7 linked regions of the Tribolium castaneum genome follow. The protein of the gene in region 3 purifies or fractionates together with the protein of the main gene of each other region. This does not show direct contact. Links are inferred from orthologs where the notes say so. Each region holds a gene or a part of one and is shown on either strand. Other genes may lie near its edges.

Evidence for each region.
Region 1: the proteins of Larp7 (region 3) and putative ATP-dependent RNA helicase DHX57 purify together in Homo sapiens (affinity purification with mass spectrometry; 3 studies listed by BioGRID and IntAct, with this or other methods). This does not show direct contact. The link is inferred for Tribolium castaneum from reciprocal best matches to the Homo sapiens genes LARP7 and DHX57.
Region 2: the proteins of Larp7 (region 3) and Rnp4F purify together in Homo sapiens (affinity purification with mass spectrometry; 4 studies listed by BioGRID and IntAct, counting the BioPlex papers as one, with this or other methods). This does not show direct contact. The link is inferred for Tribolium castaneum from reciprocal best matches to the Homo sapiens genes LARP7 and SART3.
Region 4: the proteins of Larp7 (region 3) and Nop56 purify together in Homo sapiens (affinity purification with mass spectrometry; 3 studies listed by BioGRID and IntAct, with this or other methods). This does not show direct contact. The link is inferred for Tribolium castaneum from reciprocal best matches to the Homo sapiens genes LARP7 and NOP56.
Region 5: the proteins of Larp7 (region 3) and zinc finger CCHC-type and RNA-binding motif-containing protein 1 purify together in Homo sapiens (affinity purification with mass spectrometry; 3 studies listed by BioGRID and IntAct, counting the BioPlex papers as one, with this or other methods). This does not show direct contact. The link is inferred for Tribolium castaneum from reciprocal best matches to the Homo sapiens genes LARP7 and ZCRB1.
Region 6: the proteins of Larp7 (region 3) and Pop1 purify together in Homo sapiens (affinity purification with mass spectrometry; 3 studies listed by BioGRID and IntAct, with this or other methods). This does not show direct contact. The link is inferred for Tribolium castaneum from reciprocal best matches to the Homo sapiens genes LARP7 and POP1.
Region 7: the proteins of Larp7 (region 3) and Sf3b1 purify together in Homo sapiens (affinity purification with mass spectrometry; 4 studies listed by BioGRID and IntAct, with this or other methods). This does not show direct contact. The link is inferred for Tribolium castaneum from reciprocal best matches to the Homo sapiens genes LARP7 and SF3B1.

Annotation. Positions count from the first base shown.
Region 1 is NC_087402.1:3,960,466-3,962,700, forward strand, and holds the end of putative ATP-dependent RNA helicase DHX57, read right to left. Parts: intron 2,187-2,235; coding exon 1,295-2,186; intron 1,227-1,294; coding exon 819-1,226; intron 771-818; coding exon 627-770; 3' UTR 501-626; downstream 1-500. UniProt on the Homo sapiens protein: Probable ATP-binding RNA helicase.
Region 2 is NC_087396.1:21,413,768-21,417,808, forward strand, and holds Rnp4F (squamous cell carcinoma antigen recognized by T-cells 3), read left to right. Parts: upstream 1-1,241; 5' UTR 1,242-1,446; coding exon 1,447-1,530; intron 1,531-1,582; coding exon 1,583-1,850; intron 1,851-1,905; coding exon 1,906-3,830; 3' UTR 3,831-3,846; downstream 3,847-4,041. Other genes in the region: amon (neuroendocrine convertase 2), read left to right, coding at 1-222, 391-552. UniProt on the Homo sapiens protein: U6 snRNP-binding protein that functions as a recycling factor of the splicing machinery. Promotes the initial reassembly of U4 and U6 snRNPs following their ejection from the spliceosome during its maturation.
Region 3 is NC_087394.1:30,502,011-30,506,248, forward strand, and holds the start of Larp7 (la-related protein 7), read right to left. Parts: upstream 2,801-4,238; 5' UTR 2,720-2,800; coding exon 2,545-2,719; intron 2,484-2,544; coding exon 1,646-2,483; intron 1,592-1,645; coding exon 1,369-1,591; intron 1,312-1,368; coding exon 1,033-1,311; 3' UTR 814-1,032; coding exon of another isoform or gene 538-813; 3' UTR 488-537; coding exon of another isoform or gene 116-487; 3' UTR 1-115. Other genes in the region: Gar1 (H/ACA ribonucleoprotein complex subunit 1), read left to right, coding at 116-487, 538-813. UniProt on the Homo sapiens protein: RNA-binding protein that specifically binds distinct small nuclear RNA (snRNAs) and regulates their processing and function.
Region 4 is NC_087395.1:14,127,801-14,131,499, reverse strand, and holds Nop56 (nucleolar protein 56), read right to left. Parts: upstream 2,338-3,699; 5' UTR 2,206-2,337; coding exon 2,203-2,205; intron 2,088-2,202; coding exon 1,516-2,087; intron 1,466-1,515; coding exon 571-1,465; 3' UTR 501-570; downstream 1-500. Other genes in the region: wfs1 (wolframin), read right to left, coding at 2,411-3,699. UniProt on the Homo sapiens protein: Involved in the early to middle stages of 60S ribosomal subunit biogenesis. Required for the biogenesis of box C/D snoRNAs such U3, U8 and U14 snoRNAs. Part of the small subunit (SSU) processome, first precursor of the small eukaryotic ribosomal subunit.
Region 5 is NC_087401.1:11,244,715-11,247,378, forward strand, and holds zinc finger CCHC-type and RNA-binding motif-containing protein 1, read right to left. Parts: upstream 1,423-2,664; 5' UTR 1,354-1,422; coding exon 1,241-1,353; intron 1,188-1,240; coding exon 1,076-1,187; intron 1,032-1,075; coding exon 813-1,031; intron 760-812; coding exon 535-759; 3' UTR 501-534; downstream 1-500. Other genes in the region: RpL32 (large ribosomal subunit protein eL32), read right to left, coding at 1-123, 178-270; HDAC3 (histone deacetylase 3), read right to left, coding at 1,470-1,683.
Region 6 is NC_087394.1:32,928,348-32,932,390, reverse strand, and holds Pop1 (ribonucleases P/MRP protein subunit POP1), read right to left. Parts: upstream 2,801-4,043; 5' UTR 2,632-2,800; intron 2,582-2,631; exon of another isoform or gene 2,561-2,581; 5' UTR 2,551-2,560; coding exon 871-2,550; intron 820-870; coding exon 556-819; intron 509-555; coding exon 233-508; 3' UTR 203-232; downstream 1-202. Other genes in the region: zinc finger protein 774, read left to right, coding at 3,235-3,290, 3,945-4,043. UniProt on the Homo sapiens protein: Component of ribonuclease P, a ribonucleoprotein complex that generates mature tRNA molecules by cleaving their 5'-ends. Also a component of the MRP ribonuclease complex, which cleaves pre-rRNA sequences.
Region 7 is NC_087395.1:16,040,245-16,044,179, reverse strand, and holds the start of Sf3b1 (splicing factor 3B subunit 1), read right to left. Parts: upstream 2,801-3,935; 5' UTR 2,684-2,800; coding exon 2,656-2,683; intron 2,602-2,655; coding exon 2,333-2,601; intron 2,284-2,332; coding exon 2,157-2,283; intron 2,152-2,156; exon of another isoform or gene 1,719-2,151; intron 1,515-1,718; coding exon 1,435-1,514; intron 1,322-1,434; coding exon 1,133-1,321; intron 1,085-1,132; coding exon 1-1,084. Other genes in the region: corepressor interacting with RBPJ 1, read right to left, coding at 2,951-3,137. UniProt on the Homo sapiens protein: Component of the 17S U2 SnRNP complex of the spliceosome, a large ribonucleoprotein complex that removes introns from transcribed pre-mRNAs.

The sequences.
Region 1 (2,235 bases), on a different chromosome or scaffold from region 3:
CGCATAAAAGTAAAGATAAAGGTGGATACTTTCATAACTCGGCAAATTTTTCCTCAAAACTCTCATGATTTTCCTTTATTGTTTCTTTATGGGCCACTTCAGCGGGCACGCGGTTATTTTTGCGGAATAAAAACGCATTTAACCGAACACAATTCCAAAAAATTTAAGTGCAAAATAAAAAAATAACGACAGGCAACAATGATAAGCTTCTTTATCGTGCGTGTCTACAGAAACTGATACTAATAATTCAATTATTCATATAGCATTTTTTGTTGGAGTAAAATGGAGTGTCGATAGCCCGGCGCATCCACCATTTTTAACATGAAGGCGAAAACCATATTTCCTTTTTCAGGAAATTGCAATTTCTCAAAATTAATTTTAAATACTGTGTACACTTGTACACTTTACGGACTGTAGGTACGTTCATTTTATGAACGATACGACTTGCTTTAATTAGTTCTATTGTTTTTGTGGGACTTTTTACGAAATAAAAATGCGTATAACAAAATAGAATTTTATTTCCTCTTCGACACAACAATAACAAACAGGCATAATCCACTTACAAATCAAATAAAAAAGAACGCTTTACAAAATAAAATCTCTATTTGTGAAACAAAACTCCGATCCTATTTCAAGTTGATTAAGTTCAAAATCGTCGTAATAATCCTTTCTCCTTTATCATGATGCCAGATATTTAGTAACGGATCTTTGATTTTCTCTTCCAGCAGCATGAACAACTCGCTTCGCAACATCTTAATCATTTCTGCGATCTGTAAACCACATTACTGCCAACCCAAACAACTAAAAAACCGACCAACCTTGTGTTCCTCCACTTGGAACATAATCCATCCGCGCTCTAATGAAATAAACGTACAGCCATTATTTACACTGATATCAAGATCAAAACCCGAGAAGAGCACAAGGGAGATGACAGGAATCACGGTACAATCCCTGAAATACACTTTACTGGTTTTAACCTTTTCCTGATAAACAAGATAAGGACTTGGGAAATTCTTCGCGGAGAAATTCACCGATGAGGGGTGGAGAAAAACGGTTTCTTTAACGGTCTGGAATTGGAAATCTTTCGCTTCGTTGTCTTTGGGAATGGCCCCTCCGGCGGTCTTTACGTACGATTTGGGCGGAGTTAGGACTTTTATCACGTTGGGGTAGAGAGCGGCACATAAAATTGCCGCTAAAACATTGAAATTTTCGCCGTTCCTGTTAAACTACAAAAGAATTAAGCGAGAACATCACGAGGGCGTGGCCCAGCCAGGCACGCCCTTCGATGTTATACCTCGTTTCCGGTAATTGCTAACACATCATCGTCCCCTGAACGCCTTTTCCCGTCCAAATTCGCAGCAATGAACCCGATATCGACCAAATACTCCAAAAACTGGTGCTTGATATCGGCGATTGTTACAAGAGTCTTTTGTGAGAGGAAATTCTCGTTTGCAAAATTCCGCCCAGCTAGACTACTCTTCTTGTACACACTTTGCCACTTCTTGTAGGCCATCAGGACAGTAATGTGGTCACTATACCCCACGGCAAATTTTTTCTTCTTCTCATTTGCCTCGTCTCTTTTACGGAACGGCGTCACGAACGGGCTTTTATTACTCAGACACGCCGCCATAGTTAACGCCGAGTCCACACACGAGAAAATTGCCCCATAGAGCAACAATTTTCCAATTCTCACATCCACAGGCAAGGCGGCTAAGTGGTGGCCAAGCGGCGTCAATTGTTTTTCGGTGTCTAAGGCTCCAACATCTTGGAGACGAACAATCGCCGTCTCCACGTGCTCTTTCAAAGGCGGCTCGATTAGACCGTCGATGACGTCACAAACGTCACGATCTTCGAAGTTTTGCAAAATTTTGATGTTGAGGATGAGTTGTTCGAGGGGAATTCTGTGGATTTCTGGGATGGGTTGGGGGAGCATCTGGTGGCGGAAACGGTTACTGGTGTAGAGGTGGAAACAAACGCCGGCCATCACACGGCCTGCTCGACCCTTGCGTTGCAGGGCATTGGCGCGGGTCACCCACACGGTCTCCAGACTCTCCATGTTTCGGTTCGGGTCGAAGTGCTTCTCACGCATTCGACCCGAATCGATCACGAAGACACAGTCGTCAATTGTGACCGAAGTCTCGGCAATATTGGTCGAAAGAATGATTTTCCTCAAGTTTTTAGGCTTCCTAAAAAATATACGAAGTTTTGTAAAGGCAAAAAACAGACAAAACATGC
Region 2 (4,041 bases), on a different chromosome or scaffold from region 3:
AGCACCGAGGTGAGGTATCTGGAGCACGTGCAGGCGGTGCTAACGGTGAATGCGAGTCGGAGGGGCGACCTGGAGCTCTTCCTCACGTCGCCGATGGGCACCAGGTCTATGATTCTCAGTCGAAGGCAAAACGACGATGATACGAGAGATGGGTTTACGAAGTGGCCTTTCATGACCACGCATACGTGGGGGGAGTACCCGCAAGGGACGTGGGTGTTGGAGGTGGGTGGTTTTTATTAATTTTTTACATTTATTTTTGAAATGTTTGAACTTGATTACGTGGAAATTGGGGTTGTAGGACACAGGATAAATTAAATTAAATTCGTTACGACGTTTCGATACTTTATTGAATATCTTCAGTCAAATTTATTATTATTATTTTTGTTTCAGGCCAGCTTCAATTCGCAGATGCCGCAAACGGGCTTTGTCAAGGAGTGGACTTTGATGCTGCACGGCACAAAGGAGCCCCCTTATACGGAATTGGCGGTTTTGGACCCACATTCCAAGCTTGCTATAGTGAAGAAGGCGCATGAAAATCGAATGAAGATGTAATTGGTCTCCAGTTTTGGTTTATTTATTTGTTAAAGATTTGATAAAGATTCATATATTTTTAAGTAGAGAGTAGCGATATACTGAAATATTTAAATAAATCCATCAATCTCTAACTGTACTGTAATAAAAGCATGTGATTATATAAGAAGTATAAAATATCAAGTAATTATTGGATTTTATTTTTACAAATTGTTGGACAAGAGCTTATATTTTGTATAGCGTTCATTATTCAAATATATATTAACTGAAAGAGATTATTTATTACAGTGCAAGCGATGAATCTCATGCAATTGTACAAAATTGTAAATTGTTTACAATATAAACTTTATTTCCGATTGTGATTTTGTTTGCTTCTGCTGGCCGACAACTGTAAATAAAACTAGACATTTAACCAATTTTTATTGCTTGTTTTATTTATTTAAGATTGCTTCATAGTTTTACAAATTCAAATCTTCAATTCAAACAGCTCGTATCTTTTTTGAGGCGCATGTGCACACCCAACCAGAAGCATGGCATAGATGGTCTCAAATTTATTCGGAGCAAAGACCAATAAATAAAACTACATTTTTACTAAAAAACTTTTATTCAATTTAATCAACTCACACCACGTTTAAATTAGAGATTTTATGGTCGTAAAGCGCAACCAGCAATACACATCCAGAAAAACAGTTTTACAGTATTTTTGCTAATAAATTTCAACATTGAAACCAGTTTCGGTTTTTCTGAACAAACAAAACTGTTAAATTGTTGTTAATTAGAAGTGTATTCCATTGGTATCGTTTCAAATTAATTTAGTAACTTTGCTGCTCAAAATTAGACTGGTAAATCTTCTGTCACTGTTTGCCAACATCAACATAACCCAACTTTCCTATTTGTCAAAACGTACTTTTTACGATGGAAATAAACGACGATTCCAACGAGCAAATGTCGGTCAACTCGGACTCGGACTCCGACTCCGGGGACGACCAAGAGGAGCAAGTAAGGGCCTCCACAATCCTCCAAAATTTTTCTAACTCTAAGAGTGTCTCAGGCCCTCCTCACTCGTGCTGAAGACCTCGAACGCCAAATCTCCGACAACAAGTACCTCTACAATGCCCACGAAGAGCTCGTCAACTTGTACCGAAAACTGGGGGACTTGAAGTCGATGCGTCTGGCGTACGAACGCTTCCAAGAGTACTTCCCCCTAACCCCCGAGATCTGGCTCGCGTGGATCAACGACGAGAAAAAGTTAGCGAGCTCCGAGAGCGAGATTAAGAATATTTTCGGGCTTTTTGATAAAGCCGTGGAGGATTATTTGTGTAAGTTGGTCAGGTAGCCTGAAATTAGATTGGCAAGCCTGACACGTTTTTTCAGCTGTGAATTTGTGGGTGGAGTACGCGCAGTACTCGATTGGGGTTAGCACCCTTGACACGACACGTGTGATAATCGAGAGGGGTTTAACCGCCGCTGGGTTACACGTGGCCGATGGGAGCCTCCTGTGGGACACTCTCCGGGAGCTGGAATTCGCCCATTTGTCCCTGACGGAGGCAGGGAGCGAGCCATGGAAAACCCAAGTGGAAAAAATCGTGGAGGTTTTCCGGCGCCAACTCTCAGTGCCGCTCCTTGACATGGAAAACACTTACAAGGAGTGGAAAGAGTGGCTAACGCAGGTGCAAGACCACAAAATCAATGCTGAACCGGTGGAGTGGGGCTATAACAAGGCTTTGAAAACCTTAGAGACCTACAAGCCGTTCGAAGAAAAACTACAAGTAACAACGGACGAATCGCAACTATTACGAGTTTATCGCGACTACGTCAAAGTCCTAACGGACCCCTCGACAATTTTGTGTCTTTATGAACGCGCAACGGCCCAGATGTGTCTCAACCCGGAGATTTGGCTCGATTATTGTCTCTACGGCCTGAAACTGGGAGCCCCAGCTGAAAAAATCACAACTAAGGCTTTGAGAAATTGCCCCTGGAGTCAAGAATTGTGGATTATGCGCCTACAAGTCCTTGAAAGTCTCCAGAAGGATAATAGCGAAGTTGTCGCTTGTTTCGAGCAGGCTGTGTCAAATTTAGGCGCCCAATCAAGCGAGCTGTGGCTCGCCTACTTAGAATACGTCTCACGGACGTGCCAAGACCAAGCCAAAGTTTTCAAATCTTTTGACCAAGCCTTAGAACAACTAAAATATAACGACGAAGGCGCCCTCAAAATCACAAAGTGGTATTCGAGAATTTTGGCCAAAAATAACAACATGCAAGGGGCGCGAAACCTCTGGAAAAACCTACTCAAAAGCCCGAACCACAAAATCCTGGCCAACACTTGGCTGGAGTACGCGCGGCTTGAACGCCAGTTCGGGGAACCCCCGCAAGTCCGCGCCATTTTCCAGAAAGCCCTAACCAATTGCACCGACTGGCCCCTGTTTATCGCCGACGAATGGCGTGAGTTCGAACGCGAGTTCGGTAAACTACCCGACGTTCTAAAATGCCTCGAAAAACGCAAAGAAATCGAACCGAAACTAAAAACGATTGAGCCGCCGAAAGCCACCGGAACCAAACGAAAACACCCGAGCGAAGCCGAACCCCCGCCTAAGAAACACAAAAAGCAGGCGGTGGTCAAAGACCCGACTCGCACAATTTTCGTCAGTAATCTACACACTAGTGTGAATGAAAAACGACTGAGGAAATTCTTCCCCAATTGCGAAAATGTCGAAATTGTGGTCGATAAGCGGGGGAAGTCCCGGTGTTATGGGTACGTGCAGTTCGCCCTTGAGGAGAGTGTCATGGCGGCGCTGGCACGTGACCGGGAGCTGCTTGACGGCCGCCCTATTTTTATTTCCAATTGTAAGCCGAATCGTGAGGAGCGGAAAGCCGGCTTTAAGTACTCGAATGAACCCGAGACCAATAAACTTTTCGTTAAGGGACTCCCCTATGACAAGTCGCAGGAGGAAATTGAGGCGATTTTTCGGCCTTTTGGGGCGAAAACCGTGCGTTTGGTGTGTCGGCGAGATGGTAAGCCAAAAGGACTCGCGTATGTTGAGTTTGAGGACGATGCAAGTGCTAAGAAAGCCATGGAAAAGACCGATGGGATGACAGTCGGGGACTTTACCATCAGTGTGGCAATTAGCGCGCCCCCTGTCAAGAAACCAACAACAGTTGCAAAAAGTACACCAACACGGCATGCACGCAGCCGATTACAAGTCCCGATGTTACCGAGGTCCTTGCAAGTCAAGAGTGCGACGAATGGTGATGTCAAACCGAAAACCAATGATGATTTCCGATTGTTACTTCAGAAATAAAAGCGATTCAAACATATTTATTCAACAACTCTCTACCTCTAGATACAAATGAGGTAACCGCCCTCAATATGCTGGCAGTGGTGGGTGATTTCGCACATGTTTCTCCTGTTTGAGTGGCTGAAAATTATCTAAAAAATATATACGATACACAAAATATTGCTTCGTTCTCTCTTATTTACAATACGTGATTTTGTACTTGTGACGTTTGAGC
Region 3 (4,238 bases):
TTGGAGGTTACGTTTGCAGGAGAGGTTATGTTGCCGCACTGAAAATTTAGTGTAAACCACGTGTTTACAAAGGGACGCTCTTTTACGTTTCTAATTATTTGAGGAGTGAAACAAAATGTCTTTTCGTGGCCGAGGCGGCGGTGGTGGCGGCTTTGGAGGTCGTGGTCGTGGGGGCGGCGGCGCTCGAAATTTTGGTGGAGGCGGCGGGAGAAATAGTTTTGGTGGTCGCGGGGGCGGCGGGCGAAACTATGATCAAGGCCCTCCTGAGAGAGTGATTCCTTTGGGCTACTTCGATTACACCGTACAAGATGATTTAGTTGCTAAAGTAGAAATAGAAGACGTTCCATTTTTCAATGCGCCGATTTACCTCGAAAATAAGGAACAAATCGGAAAAATTGATGAAATTTTTGGAAATCTCAGAGATTATTACGTTTCGATACGTCTCGGAGACGACATAAAAGCTAGCAGTTTTAAAAAGAATCAAAAGGTATAAAAAAATTCACTTACCATTCACACATCTAAAATAATGTTTTGCAGTTGTTTATTGATCCTGCGAAGTTGTTACCACTTCAAAGATTCCTACCGAAGCCCCCAGGCTCAGTCCAGAAACGAGGCGGTCGAGGGGGAGGTCGTGGGGGTGGCGGAGGCCGCGGTGGTGGCAGAGGGGGCGGCAATCGCGGCGGGTTTGGAGGAAGAGGAGGCGGCAATTTCGGTGGACGTGGGGGTCGTGGGGGCGGCGGCGGTTTTAGAGGTGGTCGTGGGGGTGGATTTGGCGGCGGCCGAGGAGGGGGCGGCGGCGGCAAGAGGTGGTAGACTTGAAATTGTGACCAATGTTTTTTGTGGTTGGCAATTGTTCCATTAAGTGTATGAAATTTTTATTACGAAAATAGATCTATGAAAAATAAGAACTACAGGTTATTTCAAATTTTTGTGTGAATATGTCAGCAAACAACACGAAATGGATGGTGCCACTGTTTGACAAAGTTAATAAATAAAGAATATTTAAAAAAAATTTAAACTGAAAACAAAACCTTAATCATCAAATTTTGTATGTTTTGCTTTCTTTAACAGTTTGTCTCTACCACGTTGTTTCTTTTTTGCTTTGTTTAGTTTATCCTCACGATCTGTTTTAATTTTTTCCCAATATGAAGATTCTTCCTGTCCTGTTAATACCTCTTTTTTGCCAAAAGATTCTTGGGAGCAAAAATTTTTAGCGCCCTCCGTGGTGTTAAATCTTACATAAATGTTCTCACTGCCAGGGTTTGGAATATCTACGTACAATATATCAGCTGAAGAAGTTTTAATTTCATTCTGAAAAACGATTTATCGCAAATAAATTGGCCAAGATATTTAGTTTAGAAAATTTACCTTAAGTTTCTTTATATCCAGGGTAGCTTCGGTTAGCTTTATTTTTACAATAAGTCCCTTGGTAAAATCCTCTTTGTTGAGTTCAGTCTTAGCAGTGGGAGTTTTCGACTTTTGTTCATAATTTGGTTGATTAAACTTGGCTTTTAGAAGGTGTTTTTTAAACTCTTTCATTTTCTTCTTTTGTAAATCTAGATACCGATTTCGCATCTTTTTCCACTCTTTTCTAAAAAACAATTATTTATCAATGATTAAAGATAATTCTAGCTGCTTCACTTACTTTGATAACACTTGGAGGCCCAATTCTTTTATGTAATTTTTCTTTTTGTGTTCTTTTTTCAATTTCTTCTTTTTCTTATTTTCGGCATCGTCCGACTCAGAAACGTCTCCAGTATCATGTTTTGAATTTTTTTCTTTTTCGTCACTTTCACTGTGTTCATCATTTTCTTCAGTGTGCTTACTATCATCGACTTTCATTTTTTTCCCTTTTTCTTCACTTTCGCCGGATTCACTTTCTTCAAGTTTTCGTTTTCTTATTTTTTCCTCCGCTTTACTCTCACAGTGTTCACTATCTAGTTTTTCGCTATTCTCACTATTGTCTTCAAGTTTTCGCTTTTTTGTTGCCTTTTCGTCTTCTCCAGATTTTGGCTTCAGTGTAGAATTTTTAGAGGAAGCCTCAGATTGTTCATTACTTTCTTCAAATGTTTTAATACTACAAAGAGTTTCTGGTTCTGTATTTGACGGCATTTTGCAGCCAATGCTTTCAAAGTAATTTAAAGCATTTTGCGCTTCCTTTTCTTTCTCGAATTCGACAAAAGCAAAACCCTTTATGGCACTATTGTTTTTGTATTTTGGTATAGAAACGTAGACCACATTTCCAAATTCAGAAAAAACAGAGTTCAACCATTCATGAGTTGCATCGGATTTTAGGCGTTCTACATAAATCGTACAATCATCAACGTTAGCCTTTTCTTTAACCGGTTTTGTACGACGAATTCTACTACGATCTTCTGATAATTCGATTAACTGCGACTTTTGTACAGCTTTTTGGATATCATCTATGCTGGTTGTGAGTTTAGTAATTTTGTTAAATTTCAAAAATACGTTCAGGTCGACAACTGAAAAAAGTGCTTGGTATTTACCTACAACTACTCATAAAATAATCATATAGTCACTTACAAGGATTCTCCTTTATTAATTGAGATAGAAATCTATCTTTGGTGAGGTTAGAGTCGCTAAAATAAAATTCCATTTGCTGCAAAATGGAATTGTAGAGTTGCTTTTTTCGATGGCGACCTTTTTTAAGTATTGAATCGTCGTGTGCATTTGCATTTTCTTTCGTTTCATTTTCCATTTTCAATACTTTGCAGAAGTAAAAATGAAAATTATAACCTAACTTAGCGTTTGGAAATGAAATTGAAAAAGAAACTGCCGCCAACCATAGAAAAAAAATATTTGTTGGAGGTAAATTTGGTTGCCTAATTAAAAAAAATGTTTTTAGAATGCAAAAAAAATCATTTACTTTTTAAATTATACGCCGCTTACTCTTATTCATAGGAGATAGCTCTTATTCAAAAAATAATTATGTTTAGTTGTATCAATTACACCCATGCTACTCCTAGTGCATTGTGTGCTGCACTTTTTACCTAATCAGGCGTGAAGTCTTAAGTGAATAACTCTATGTATTTAGTTTAGATTATGAAAAAAAAACTTTTATACTTTATTAACTAATTTAATTAAGTTTTACCATGAATTTGAATAGTACTTCAAATCGTTTCAAATAATCCATTATGTGAAACTGAATACTCACCTTGATTTCATCTTTCTTAGAAACGAACTATAAAGTCACCGATAAAATGATAAAAGTAAGTTGTTTATTACATTAAGTTACTTAAATCACTGACATACTTATATTGTTTGCCTTATGGATTGTGAAATTTAAACATCAGCACGTATAAGTACTGATGTTATCGCCTTAGCAACATATAAGCCACCAACTTGAGCAATCTTACAATAGGTTTAAATTTTATGAAACCATAAGTAAAATTATTCATCAGATTAAATTACAACAGTCATTTAAAAAAAACATTTATCATAACTAACTCATAGTATCTTTGCCGATGTTTTTTCGTGCTTATTTATTATTTAACTATGTACTTTTGGAGATGTTTTTATCTTTTGGCTTTTGGCCACAATTAATGAGGCAAATTCAAAATAAAAAGTTATAGTATGTACATTTGCAAAGATATTTTGAAAAACACATTAATTTTTTTAATTGTTAGTCCTTGCAATTTTAATTTAATTCTGGTCTAAAAGAATCATTGATCCACAATATTGATCCGTAAATGTATAAGTTTTTTCTAGTTAAAAGTTTAAAATAATACGAAATACAAAATAACAACAAACAAACAAAGAAAACAAACGTTAGAATAACTACAACTTGTCCTATCCAAATGTTTATAACTACTTTTTGTATTTAGATACACCAGCTATCAATAAAAAAAGTCAAGTGACTTAAATTAAAACTTTGTACCCTATTCATATCATTTATGTGTGTACTTAATTGTACTCACATTGTAAAACGATTTACTGATGTCATTGTTTTATTAACAAGTAGATAACAAGCATTTAAGTCATCAAGATAAATTAGGCTTAAGTCTTTTATCTAAGTCACTCAAACTAACGTCTGCATGAAGTTTTAGCAGACGATAGGCAAGTGGATAATGTTACAATAATTATAAGCACGTTCAATCATCATACAACCTGAATACCTACTTATAGATTATTATTTATCTTTTTGTCAATTTTTTTCCGATTTCTTTTTAAAAATGAGGTAAATACACTCATTTTATAAAAATGTAAAAATTGTCTAT
Region 4 (3,699 bases), on a different chromosome or scaffold from region 3:
CACCTAATTTTTATTCGAAATTCCAAAGATTGTACTTTAATCGTTGAGATTGAGCCAATTGGTCTTGCGTTTATAGTTTTTAAAAACGGTTTTCTTGCACATATTTTGTATAGTCCGTTTGGTTGTATTACAATGCTCATGAGGGTGCTGGGTACATTTAAGTTTGTTCATATTTTATTTAGTATTACGCAACTATTTATACAACTAATTTGTAGGAACAGCAAAATCGGCTCTGTTAGCAAACAGATAAAGCAATATTGCATTGTTAATAATTTTCTATAAAATAAAAACAAATTCGACCTATCGGCAGTTTTTTCTTTTTCGTTGAAGGTTGCGATACCGTGGTGCCTTATTATCGATAACACTATCCATGTTACAGTTAGTAACTGTTTGAACATTCCGCTCATTTAGTTTATTGTAAAAACATATAAAATAAATTGTTGTGAATATTACCCATGGTTTTATTGGTAGGATAACAGGTTTAAGCATTACGACCTCAATTTGATCAAGTATCTATTTAAAAATAATAGATTATACAAGAATAAAAATACCCGACTCTCAAACAAACAATTACTCAACTTCCTGCTTATTTTTCTTCTTCTTCTTTTTGGGCGGCTCCTCCGCCTCATCTGCATTCCCATTGGTCGTCTGGTCCACGCCATTCTCTCCCACAGACTCACTCGTCTCGTTCAGCTTATGTTTCTTCTTTTTCTTCTTCTTCTCGGACTTATTGTGCGCCGTTTCTTGCTCCAACTCCTCCATCGCCTCCTTCATGACTTCGATATTCTTCTTGGGGACGTCCCCTGTCTCGTAAAACTTGAGCCTGTCTTCAACTTGTTGCCTCAACTTCTCGCCAAAAATCTGCGTCGGTTGTTCAGTGAAGCAGTCGATTCGCGATGCGATCGAGCACTTGTTCGCCAAATATCGCGAGATGCGCCCCTTGTTCTTAGCCCCAGCTCGCCCTATGAAAGTGGAGTGGAAGAGTAAGCCGTACTTCGGGGTGTTCCCCCTGGTTTTAAGAGCCCTGAAAAGGGCTTTTTCAGCCCCGAGGATCTGAACCGTGGACGCCGGGTACTTGGCAAGGTTTGTCAGAGACCCAGCGTGGGCGATCAAGCGCGCCCCCACTTGTTCGCCGATTAGTTTGGCCAGATTTGGGGCCACGTCGGTCATTTTTGTCTTCAAATATTCGGAAAGTTGGTTTCTGTAGTCGGCTAGAGCTATCACCCGGCCGGCAAACATTTCGATGTTCAGTAGATCAACAACGCTTATGTCCATGCCCATGCTGGACTTGGAGGCGTCCAAAATCGCCTGGGCTTTGCCTGAATCCATCGTGATTTCTTCCAAGCCCTCGAGAGAGTCCTCGCTTAGTTCTTTGCGGTTTTTGATGAATTTTGCCAAACGGGCGTAGGTGTAGTTCTCGGGGACTATTTTCACCAACTCCGGGAAATGGTAAGAGTACCATTCGCTGCAATACACTTGTTAGAAAGAAAATTTGGACAATTCGCAAAATCGTACCGAATTCTCATCGAGAAAGTGTTGATGTCTTTGTCGAGTTGGTCCAAAAGAGCTATGGATTGTATTATCATATTGTCAACTCTGTGGACGTTAAACTTGACCTTGGCTCGTGAATATGCATGCCCGAGCCCCAGTTGGGCCACGGCTGAGCTTTTCTGAGTGAAACCTTTCACAAGGTTATGGAAATGGTGCCTGATACCCCTGATTACCTCCGGGACAGCTCCGACGTGGCTACATTGTATCCCAAGCGCTTCGGTGATGGCAGCCCCCAACTTGGGGTCACTCACCCCCAACGTAAGCTTATTCTTTTTCTTACTTTTCGGGACTGTGATGTCCAAAAAGTGTAGCAAATCTTCGGGTAAAACACCCTCCGAGATTGCATTGATGCTTTCTAAAGCCGCAATGGCTGTTTTAAACGGCGAAAAACCAACGAGTTCGACTACGCTATTGAAGCGGGCTAGGTCGTGCACGGCTGCCTCCAACTGGGGCAGCAGCATACCGATTTCTTCAAATTCCTGCACTTTGAAAACCCCATAGCCGGCAGCGTGCTCGAATAACACATAAAGTTTAGACTGAAAAACATGCGGCGCTAGAGTGAGGTTATATTTACAAACATTGCTATAACTTTGCTTGTTCCAAAAAACGAGCAATTAGCAATGTTCTAGTTATGCAATATTGAATTCTTACCATAATTAGGCATAAAATTGGGCTAAAATTAATTAAATTCTATAACAGCACGCATCACAATCACACGTGTTTGCGCGATTTCGCTGGTAATTTTTACGGCAGTGTAGTGGTGGAGCTGACGAAAATTTAAATTCTGGCGCACAACTTAAATAATCTCTTACATTTATTAACATAAATAAATACAATTCTCAATAAGTTACGTAACAAATCACTTAAACACTACGACTGGACTTAAAATAACATTGAGGACAAACTTGAGTCCCAAAACGAGACCATCAATAACATTCTTAATATCAAATCTAGATTCAATCTCTTTTTTAACATTCGTCAGTTTATTATTACTACACGCAAGGCAACCAATTTCGTCCAATTTTACATGGGTTTTGAACCCCCCTAAAATCCCATCGGACCCCACAACCTCGTTATTAAACAACGTGCCTTTGAACCAAATGTGGTCATTTGGCTTAAGCCCCAGGGTGAAATTTCGAAAATAATCGTCAACTACAAGAGTGACTTCGGGGCTTTTGCCCCAAATCGCTGACTGCACTTTCGTTGTTATTTCAAACGTGTACGAATTGTATTTTTGAAGCGAACACGTTTTAGTCGATTTTATTGCATTGTAGAACGAGCTGCACTCTTCACGAACCGCGGGGGGGAAATCAGTACAATCATTTCGAGTCTCTTCCCCGTAAAAACAGTAAAGATAATGGCGCAAAGTCACAGGGAAGTGATCAATAATCGTTTGGAACTTATTCGAGATCGACGAAATTTTAATATCGTTGATGTAACCGTCCCAATTGATGTGCGAGTTGTGCAGTTCGGAGCACTTCACTTGAGCAATTGCGATGTTTTCCTCCTGCCACACCGGCTGGTGGCAAAACCGCTGATAAACGTCCCACGACAAATACTCGGGTAGTTTATTTTCAAAATAGTGTTCCTCATTTTTGTAATTTGACTTAATGAGGGTTAAAACAGCAAAAATCGTCGAAACGACTTGAATAAAAGCGGTGATTTTGCTGAACCTCGTTTGGGCACAAACCCAACATACCGCCAGGCCTAACCCGGTGGCCCCCACGAAGACACAAACCCCGAGAAAAAAATTCGAAGCCACGACCCATTTCGCTAGCGCAGCTGCGGGGAGTATCACACTTGTGAGCCCCACTAGGGGCAGGAACAGCACCACCCCCACTAAGGCCAAGCTGCCGCGCAACAGGCCGTACATTGTGGCCCCCTCGGAGCTCACAATGCACACCTGGAGCCAGCTCAGGGTCACACAGTGGGGGATCAACATTTGGTACGTGCCTTTCCAATCCTGGCGTGAGGCGATTTTGACCAACAAAAGCGGGATAAACATGTAGAGAAACAGGCGGAAATTGATACAAAATTCGATGCCGTTTCCTATCACATAGCTGGCGAAAGTTGGGATTTTTAGGTCGAGAAAGCGCCAACCTTGTGCCACCACTGGATCAGTCTCGTAGGGGTATTTCGCAAGGACGT
Region 5 (2,664 bases), on a different chromosome or scaffold from region 3:
GCCTGTGGGTAGCATGTGCTTCGTTTTGGCATTGGAGCCGTAGCCAATGTTGGGCATCAAAAACTGGCCCTTGAAGCGCCTACGAACCCTGTTGTCGATACCTTTGGGTTTGCGCCAGTTGCGCTGAAATTTGAGGTTAGGGCGCTCACAATTCGCCTATTTCACGCCGTTACTTACTTTGAGTTTGCCATAACGGTCAGACTGGTGCCTGATGAACTTTTTCGTTCGTTTTTTAACAATTTCAGGCCTGTAAACGGGACGAATCGCCATTTTTGCCCTATAACAAAATAAACACCAGGGGTTGGAATTATCACTTAAATTGTGTCTGGTGGTGCGGGGGGCGTTGTCTCGGGGGCTGTTTTTGCAAAAATACTTACGGATTGGTCAGAAATTAACGGATGGGAAACGTGCCGTATTTTTTGACACGTTCGGGAAATGTCACTTGACGGAAAGGGTCCAACGCTGCGCACGCAAAGTTACCAAAGCGAGAAAAAATTCCCTAGTTTTCAAAACATTTTATTATAAATAAATAAATTAATCACTTTCTTCCTCGTCACTGAAATAGGCGCTTTTCTTAATTAATTTCCTCGGTGGTTCAGTGGCCGTCTCATCGTCATAATTACCCGTCGCGACTTTGTAGCGATATTCCTCAAGTTCTTGTTTTTCCAGTTCGGAGGCAATCGCCGCACTTAAAGTTTCATCGTCGTCTTTAATTTGCTCATTGTCGGACTCCGAATCATTAAAAAATTCCTTCTGTTCCTGATAAATTAAAAAAATCTCAATTTGTTGTTTCATTTTTTTCATGTGAATACCTCTGTAAGCTCAGTTGCCACTTTCTTTTTGCGTTTCCTGACTTTTTTGGGGGGCGGGTCCCTTTCCCCAAGGATATTTTTCGCACATTTGTAACTCAAGTGTCCACTTTCACCACATTCGAAACACTTGCTCTTGTCGGGGTAGTCTTTACGTCTGATAAATTCCGTCGTCCGGCCGTTGTCTTTTGCGATGCTTGCCTTAACCGTTCGCCCAAACATCTAGCAAAAAAGTCAGCCGTAACGAAGATTCAAAACCGCCTTACCTCTCTCAAGTTCGTTTCTTCGACGCATTTTAAAGCGTCTTCAATTTTCAAAAATAGGATAAACGCAACTCCTTTACTTTTCCGTGTGTTTTTATCCTTCAAAACTGTGACTCTGATAAAAAAGGGGTGCAATAAACAAACCAACCTAACCTCACTTTTACTCACTTGACGATTTTGCCGTACTTTTCGAATAGCTTGTGCAAGTCGTTGTTTTTAAGCTCGTAGGGGATATTCGAGACGTAAACTGTGCTTTTGCTAGGAACTAGACCACCGCTCATTGTTTTTTATTTAATTTAAAGGAAAATTAAAGGTCGGGATTAGTCGGTAACGATCGTAATGACGCGCCAAATTTAAATAAAAATCTTATTCATTAAATTATTCACTTAAATACAGGTCATGTCTCCATATCTTCCTTATCATTATCTTTATCTCCGTCGTAAAATTCATTTTTCGCCTCGACCATCTTATCTTCCAACTCTTGACTAATTCTAACATCAGGGTCTTCTTCTTCCTTGACTTTGTCTTCTTCAGGGATTGCGTCTCCTGGCACGTCGTGCATTTGCACACTGGGCGAGTGTTGACACATCTTCAAGTTGTCGCACACAAACCTGGAAAAAGTGTCATGAAAAGTTGGGTTATTATAGCACAAATCTGAAACTTTTTGATTTAATTTTTTCAAGAAAAATAATAAATAAAATCGTTTTTTTACAATTGGCTGTTGTTCCTAGGTTAAATCATTACCTCACAGATTTGTTCTTATTTCGCTTTAAATATTTGTGACCAAGTTTTAACGGGTTAAACAGCTTAATAATTTTAATGCTTTATGGAAAAAGTTAAAGTTGAAATGGCTTGAAAAAATACAGTACCATAAATAAGTCATGTACAACACTCCTAATAAAATTTATCAAAAAATTATGTACCATTTTTTAATAAAAAAAAAATGACCAAAAAATGGGCTTTTTCATTTTATTTTTTAATGACATAGAAGTTTTTTTTTCAAATTCATATACAACGTTGGGCAAAAGTATGGAACCAAGCATTTTATGCTTAAACTATGTACCTTACGAAAAAACTAATTATTAAGTCATCGACTACTTTAAAAATGTGATAATTTTTTAAGAATAAAATTTTTTGAAATTTCTTTTAGTCTACGTGTTATTAATTTTTTTTTCAAATGGCTTCCTCCTATGGCGATTTTTTTGGTAAAAGATTATGTTCTAAAAATAACTTCTACTTTAAAAAAATTAATTTTAAGCCATGTTTTTTTTTTCATAAATTATTATTATTATTTGAACTTAATTTTTTTATAGAAAAATAAACAAATCACGTTTCTAACCGTTTTAAACTCGGGAATGATTCAACGTTAGAACAACACCCAGTTGTAATGAAACTATTTTGTGCAATACTTTTCATAAAAATTCAATTTCAAATTTTGCGTTCAGTTCCACTTCAGACCTCCTTAATATAGTTCAGTGGCGCAGCAAGGGAGATTGTTGGGGGTTGAGAACATAATCATGCAAAATAATTTAAGTTGCAGTAATAAAACAAAACTTTCCAGACAATCATTGTAGACATTCGATTTTTTCTAC
Region 6 (4,043 bases), about 2.4 Mb from region 3:
GAGCGTAAATCGGCAATTTAGTGTAACAACACTTATTACCATTCCGTAAATTGATTATTTAAAAAACGGCTGCACGCCTCCAATAAAATATTTTGGAAATTCCTATACAGCAATAAGAAATTGCATTATTTTTTATTCAAAAAAATTCGGCATTTGCAGCCTCCCCATGTGGGTATGTATTTGTAAATAGCAATTATAAACGTTTTCCTGTAATAAATTTATATTCAGCCAGTCACTCTACAATGACGCTTAAATTCGCAGTTTTATATTGCCGAGAATTAGTATTCCTCAACAAAACCTTATTTCTAAAATCAACCAACTCCGATAAACAATCGCTAGTTATATAACCCGTCCCTGCGCTTTTCCCAATCGAAAAACTAAAACCGCCTTTCGAAACAAAACCTACAACTTCTCTGCTACACGAATGCCTTATGGTAGTTGGCTCAGGAAGCCACAGCGCTCTCATTTTCTCCGTATAACTGCGTAAAATCTCACTGTGATCATCCGACTAAAACAGACTTATCAACAAGTTCGATTAAAACAAACCGACATTACCGCAAGCTCCGACTTTAATTTGCGTTTCTTCCGCAATTTTTTCAACAAACTTTGATGTGCACGTCTCAATTCCTTCCGCTTTTCCTTATTTACATCCTCGCAATTCGGTTCCAACAAAACTTCGCTCAAATCACTCTTACATTTCGGGACACAAATAATGGCATACTCGGCCAGTGAGCCCCGCTTCTCACACTCAAGTCTAACAGGAATGAGGCAATTTTGGGGGCACTGTGGCACCGGGTGTGTCTTAGAATTGAGAAAAGCCTAAAACAATCAAAACTTAAAGTTCACTTTTTACAAAGACAATTAATTTACATTAATCGAATGAAGCTGTTTTTTGTCCCTGAGGACTGAAAATTCGCCCGTAAAGCCACTGTTCCAGTCCTTGAGCAAAAGCCTCCAATTGCAAAGCAAAGGACTTGCGATTTTAAATTTACTGTAATTGATTCGTTTATTTGGAGGTTTTTGGAAAAACGTAACCCTGTGCTGGTTTGAATGTCTCAGTTCTTCCTCAAAACCTGCGTCCGTGTCCGGGTGAAGCAACTGTGACTTTCCCATTTCGTAAAGCATTGAGTCTGATTCCCTCAAACCCCCAACCCTTGCTCCCCTCATAACGAAGGCAATCCAAAACGGTTTGGCCCAAGCCGTTGGTAGGATGACATCCCATCCACTCCCTAAACCAACGTTCTGGGTTTTATTCCCTGGCCTTTGGATCAGGATAATTGGAATGTGGCCAATGGTCCCTTTTAAATCAGACCCCGGGACTAGTAAACCACTTTGCAAGTCAACAATTTTTGAGTCAGACACTTTATTTTCATTTGAGTACGTTCTGATGGTCTTGTCCCATAAAGGATTCGCGGAAATGTTCACAGGAATTTGATCAAATTCCAATTTCCCGAAAGTTAAAACACTTTTTATGCGCTTTTTTGGAAGATTCAATCGGGGGTCTTTCACAATCAAGGGTAACACGATGTGGGGGGAAACCTCATGTAGGGATGCCACCGAGGCTAGTTTTTTCCAAAACTCGCACTGATTTATAATCACTGCTTTATTCTCCGGCCAATCAATGTATTTTTTAAGAGGCGACTCTGGTACTAATTTAATATCATAAATGTCGATCAAAGCAAGCGCATCTTGAAGAACTGGATTAGATAAAGGCCCACTGAGTCTAAATCTGCTCAACTCAAGTCTAAGTTCGTTTATTTCGATCTGGCAGTTTTTAAAACACTCAACTAGTGTGTTTTTCGTGGTTGAATAAAAAGCGGCATGAACCCACAACCACAATTTACATTTTTCGTCAATAGAGGGTTGCCACTGGAACATGACGTTCCCGATGGCTTTTTGGAACGAATCATAGAGACAGATTTCACCCTCGCGGTTACCCTCAGAAAAGGCTTTCGCCCCAATACTTAAACCCTCGCCTGGCTTACACAGGAGTTTAATTTTTTCAATAATTTCGCTTTTATCGCCGTGGATTTCCACACAACTGTAGTAGGAAATGTCCTGTAAGAGGCAATGTTGGGTCATTGCCCTGTAGCAGGCACGGAAGGCCTTATCACAAGCGTGGTATGGCAACTTGTAGCCCCATTTCTCCACCATGTGGAACCGTTTCGCGTGCCAGATGTGGGTTTGCAACCATTTGTACTTCTTATTGGCCCTTTTGGTGTATTCTTCGAGGAGGTTTCGCGGTTTTCGGCGGTATTTGCGAGAGGGGCGCTTCTGTTGCGTTGGCATTCCGGATTTTTTCATTTGGTTTAAATGGATTTGGCGGAGACGCCGTGGTAGTCTTTTGACGTTGTGGGACATTGCCCGGCGTCTCATGTGTTTCGGTAGAGTTTGGAAGGCCAGTTTTGAGCCGGTTTGGGTCAGGAGGGAGTTTTTCATGATTTGGATTTCTTGGCTGCGGCAAGCCACGAATTTCGATAAGGAGATGTTCGAAGGGAGCTCCTCGGAGCCCCCCAGAAGGGCGTCATATTGGGCTTCTTCGTCAATCATGGTTTTGACGCTAAAATCACCACATTTTTGACTTGAACGTAACCTCAAAAATTGTGACACTGGTTTGTAATCTTGACATACCTTCCAGGCGCTAATTACTGAAGCTAGCAATGAATATTATTGAAAGTAAATTCGCACTTATCACATTTTAATGTAAAAATTGAGAGAATCATTCAAATTTACCGCGTAGCTTTAAAACAAAAAAATACCTTTGCTAGTTTTAATCGTCAGGTGACGCTGCAGTCGTTTATAAAAAAAATAGAATTTTGTGCGCATGAGTCTTACTTTCCATTCAATTCAAAATTTAAAATGGTTTTCTTGGCATTGATACTAAAATAATGTTTTAAGCTGAATTTAAATCATTATCGCAAATTTATGAATATTGTTCACTTGAATCTAGAAAGCTATGACAGTTTGTCCATAATTAGTCAAATGAAAATCCATCAACATTCAATTTTTAACAATTTTTTAAACAAAATACATTCACTAGCCTGTTTTTGTGTTTAAATTTTTTCAAAAATTTAAACGTTTAAATTTTCTGATTGAAATGATTGTTTGTTTTTTATTATTACTTGATAAAGTGTGCTTTTGACTATGTGAGTAGTTTTTGTGAAAAATCTGTTTGCATTAGTTACAAAAGTTCCTTCAAGCTCTTCTAATTGCTTTAAATTGGAATTATAAGAAATGGATCAGCTAAACTTGAACGCAGATTTCTTAAAATTCGACAAGGAGAATAATGGGTGAGTACAACAAGCCCCAAAAAAGCGAATTTTGGAAATACAGTTTTAAGACACACATCGCAACTTCATTTGTGACTTCTGTTTTAACAAAAGCCATAGACAAAAGCAGATTAAAATTCACTTATTTTGGAATTGTTTTGTTTATTAGAGCATTAGCGTCCCATACAAACTTTATTTAACTATTATCATTATTTCTACCACATAGCAATGGGGGTTAGTTTTAGAGTGCCTGATATAATAAATTAAGTACTTAATTGTTTCAGTGAGTGTAAAAAAGGTATACGTAAGTCTAAAAATGATGTTTTCAAAGTTCTGAGATAAACATCTTGCGTAAAATTCACAGACGTAACTCACCAATGTAACAAGTTATTATACCTACAGAATGTCTCAAAATTGGCGAATTTCGGGTTCAAAGCGTTGTAGAGACACTCTGTTTAAGAGTAATTTCAATCAGATGCTTTGATTCACGGGTTAATCGCAAAATAAATTTTAACACCAACATAATTCATATATTAAATCAACCTATGTTTCTATTAGGAAAATCTTAAAAAAAATAAAAACTCGTGTGGCTTGTTTTAATGGGTTATTCTGTATAAAAAATGATTTTGAACTTTATAAGTGCTTAAATACACATTTTTTTATATTTAATTTTAGGGATGTTAAGAGAGAAATCGATTTTTTGCAATGTGGAAACTTTAACTCTGTTCAACCTAGTTCGTCGTATTTATCGAACATATTTTCGAACACATTAGA
Region 7 (3,935 bases), on a different chromosome or scaffold from region 3:
ATATTTTGTGGACGTAGGGACGGACTAAATCGTCCAATTTGTACAAAATTCGGTCTATGACTTTGACTAACAAGTGACGTTCTTGGTCCTCCAGAGTTGGACTCATTAAAAGGGGCAAAATTTGGTTAAAAAGGGGCCCTGCACCGAATTCTCGAGCCTTGTCTGTGATTTGCCTCAAGGCGGCTTTTCGCATGGGAGGGGTCCCGTTTTTGATCTTTAGGAGTAGTTTCATTATTTTCCGTTCTTTCTGTTCCTCAGGACTCAAAGCTTCTTCATCAACATCGACCAATAATTTATCAAAATATTGCGCATCTTCTGGTTTCATGAACGGCAAATTCTGCCCTTTTGGTTGATTATCCAGATATTTGGCTGTCTTATCTTCCTGTTGGATGAAAAATCCCTGGGGAGTATTAACCATGGGTGTGGGCGTGGCTGTCAATTTCCTTGCTGGCGTCCTGATGGGTATATACCCAGCCGGAGGTGCCAAAATCTTGTACCCCGGCGGAAACATCGCATCCAATTCCTCATCCGAATACGGCCTATTCCTCTCGTCAATCTCCCGCTCCCATCGATAGGCCTGGAGTTGTTCCGGAGTCATGGACGCCAAGTGTCCCGGAGTGGGCGTCGCCATGGCCATCGCCTTGACTCCGACCGGAGTTGACCCGCCCGGAGTCAGCATCGGAGTGGCATGGCTTGGCGTTCCGTGCGGCGTTTGCGGCGTCATAGCACCCGGAGTCATGTGCGCCGACGGTGTCTGAACAGAGGGAGTTTCATCCCAACGGGAGCGGCGTTTGGACGCTCCCGGAGTCGGTGTTTCGTGAATCAAGTCGGCTCCGGTTCGGTCGGTGCGCGGGGTTTCAGCCCAGCCGCTCGAATGTCCCGGAGTTTCACGCTCGGTTTTGGGTGTTTCATCCCAGCGGTTTCGACGACTGGCACTCTTGTCATGAGCGGGCGTTTCGCGACCTGGAGTTGCAGCCCCGGGGGTCGCGTCCCAGATACGGGTGGATTGGCCGGGGGTGGCGCCCGGCGTTTCACTGCCTTTGTGGCCGGGGGTTTCGTCCCAGCGGTGGTCGGCTGGAGTTTTCTGTAATTTTTTTATTAATAATTGGTTTTAAAAAATTGGGATTGTTACGTCAGCATCCCAGATGGGGGTAGCAGCTGCACTGTTGGTCGTTACGGAGAGAGTTTTCTTTTTGCTGGGGACGACGACTTCGTCTACGGTTTGGTCCCAGCGCCCCCGTTTCTTAGGTGCGCTCTTTACCTCACCGTTTGTTGATTTGAGTGAACCGTCTTTGGATTTTTCCAGAATTTTTTTCCTCAACTGAAATTAAATTACAAGTGGTCAAAGAAATCAACTTTGAGTTAACAAAGGACTCCATTGCCGGACATAATTACGAAAAAAAATTGGCTAGGTGATAAATTTTTGATACTGACCTCGTTTTCTTCTCCTTTGAGCATCTGCTCTTTCATAATCTGGGTGTAACCGCGGGCATTGATGTCTGGTGTTTTGCCACCTGTAAACATAACAGCGTTGAAAAACGCCAATTAGTAAACGGAAGCACTTGTTGGCAAAAAATGGTCAGACTTTTCTATTTAGTATCTGTTCTTTATTGAATGATTGAAAGATTTGGTTGCACCACAATTCACTCAAACTGATTATTTTTCGAATATTGGGGATTGAAAGGGAGTGAATTTGGCGAACAAATCTTGATACGTACGTGTGATTGTGCTCCATCACAAATCAGGCAGTTTCTCGCAAAACAACTGGTCAAATCGAACCTAGAAATAGGCTGGGGTAATTAATAATTTTCTATACATTGCATACACTCTTTCACTCTTGTTCGATTTTCGTTTACCAACGTTACATTTTACGGAAGTGATCCATTAAAATCGCGGCGATTACTTCTCTAGGAAGACACCCCTAAATGTTGGAATCCAATACAGAACAAATTAGTTTCTTTGTACTGATTTTTATTTAATGCCTACTTTCTCGAGTATTTTTGCTCACTCATGCATCCATTCGCTATCTTTCATATACCCCAATAACATACAAAACTTGAGATAAGCGACAGCAACAGCATTATCTCAAATTTCATATAAAACATAAACAAGTGGAAAAACGAGCTATAAATACTTGGACGAAATCAACTACTCACCGTCAGCGAACGGATCAACACGTTCGGGTGAAATAATCATCCGACGCCTCTTTTGCCTGTACTCGTCCTCTCGATCGGCAATCGTGGGCCTCCTCTTGTCAGCAAACGGATCAAAATCCTTGTCGCTCTAAACAACTCAGTTAACTACCACAAAACTTAAATAACACAAATCTCACCTGAGCGACATCATTGAGGAGCGCCACAGGGGCCCCCAGTCCGGTCCGTTTCTGACTATAACCCACATCGTCGTCCTCTTCATCGGCTTCATCGTTGGCGGCGATCGAGGTCACATAACCCTCGTATTTACCCTTACCGCCGCCCCCATCGTAGATCTCACTATCAAAATAGCCACTCTCGCCTAAACCTACACCCTTCTCGTTTCGCTCCTCTTCCACCGGAATTTCCTTCTTTTTAGACTGGATTTCACGAATTTGGGCCTCGATGTCTAGAGACGCAAAAAAGTCATGAAACGGGCTTTTGGGTGCAAAAAACAGCGTACCTTCATGAGTCCTTGGTATCTGTTCCATTTTCTAGCACCAATGCTTGTTGCTTTGGCTTATTTCGTTTCAAAACACTTTCAAGGAAAATCAATGACAAGCTTGCGTTACAAAATGGCGACTCATTAAGCGCCTGCGCGAAAATGGACCAATAGCCAGCCTGTCGCTAAAGTTGGCGGGATTTATAAATAAAATTCGGTGGAATACGTTTAAAAATATATTACGTTTTCTAAATTATTACAAGTATCATGATAATCCCTATAATCACAACAATTCTAAGAAATGTACAACAAAAACTTAAGAGCGTCTTCTTTTGCTATTTTCATAATAGGAATCATCAGATTTTCGCTTCCTGTCCCGTCTGTAGTCATCATTGTTATGCCGTGAGTGCTTTTTGTCCCTCCTTGACCTGTCCTCATCGGAACTTCTTCGCCCATTCTTTTCGTTCCTTTTACTGATTGCTTTCTCCACAATTTCCAGTTTCCTGTAATCAATTAATTAATAGTAAATTAAAAGATCTTTGTACTATTTTTTGTAATTGCCCCCTTTTTGTCGTTTTTAAATAAAAAATATTATTTTAATCGATTTAGGGATTTTTGAATTTTTGTAAAATTGTCATTTGTCAAAATTCAAGGCTAGTATGATTTTGGCAAAATATGGCTATAACTCAGTCTTTCAAATGGAACGATCCTTTTTTCTTAACAGCAATCGAACATCAATATTTATGGTGACTTTTATGAACACGTCCTATACCCATTTCCTACATTTTTAGAAATAATTACAAAAAAAAACACGGATTTTACTTCGTAATTTTCATAGTTAATCAAGTAGACCTTGCAAAATGGTCAACAACTGTCCAACTTTTATTTAGTTTTTAGTTGATTTATTATCAAATAAGCAGTACTTTTATTTAATAGCACAACTTTATCGTATTTTTCGAAAGTTTACTCGATTAAAATTGAAAACAATGAGCTTTTGGTCTTTTTTTTTTGAGATTATTTTAAAAAGTATAAGAGATAGATATAGGAGATATTGATAAAAGTCTCCATAAAAATCGATATCCTTTTGATTACCATTCAAAAATTTGAAAAAACTGTTATAATTACTTTTTGATCAATTTCAAAAAATCATAGTAGTCTTGCAATTTGACATTTGACAATCCTGAAAATTTGAAAAGACCCTTTGAACCTTTGGTTATCGAATACTAATATAATTATTTATTTATTGTAAAAGTTTCAAGAGTTGTGATTTTTTAAATGAACTACTGCAAATGAAAATTTTC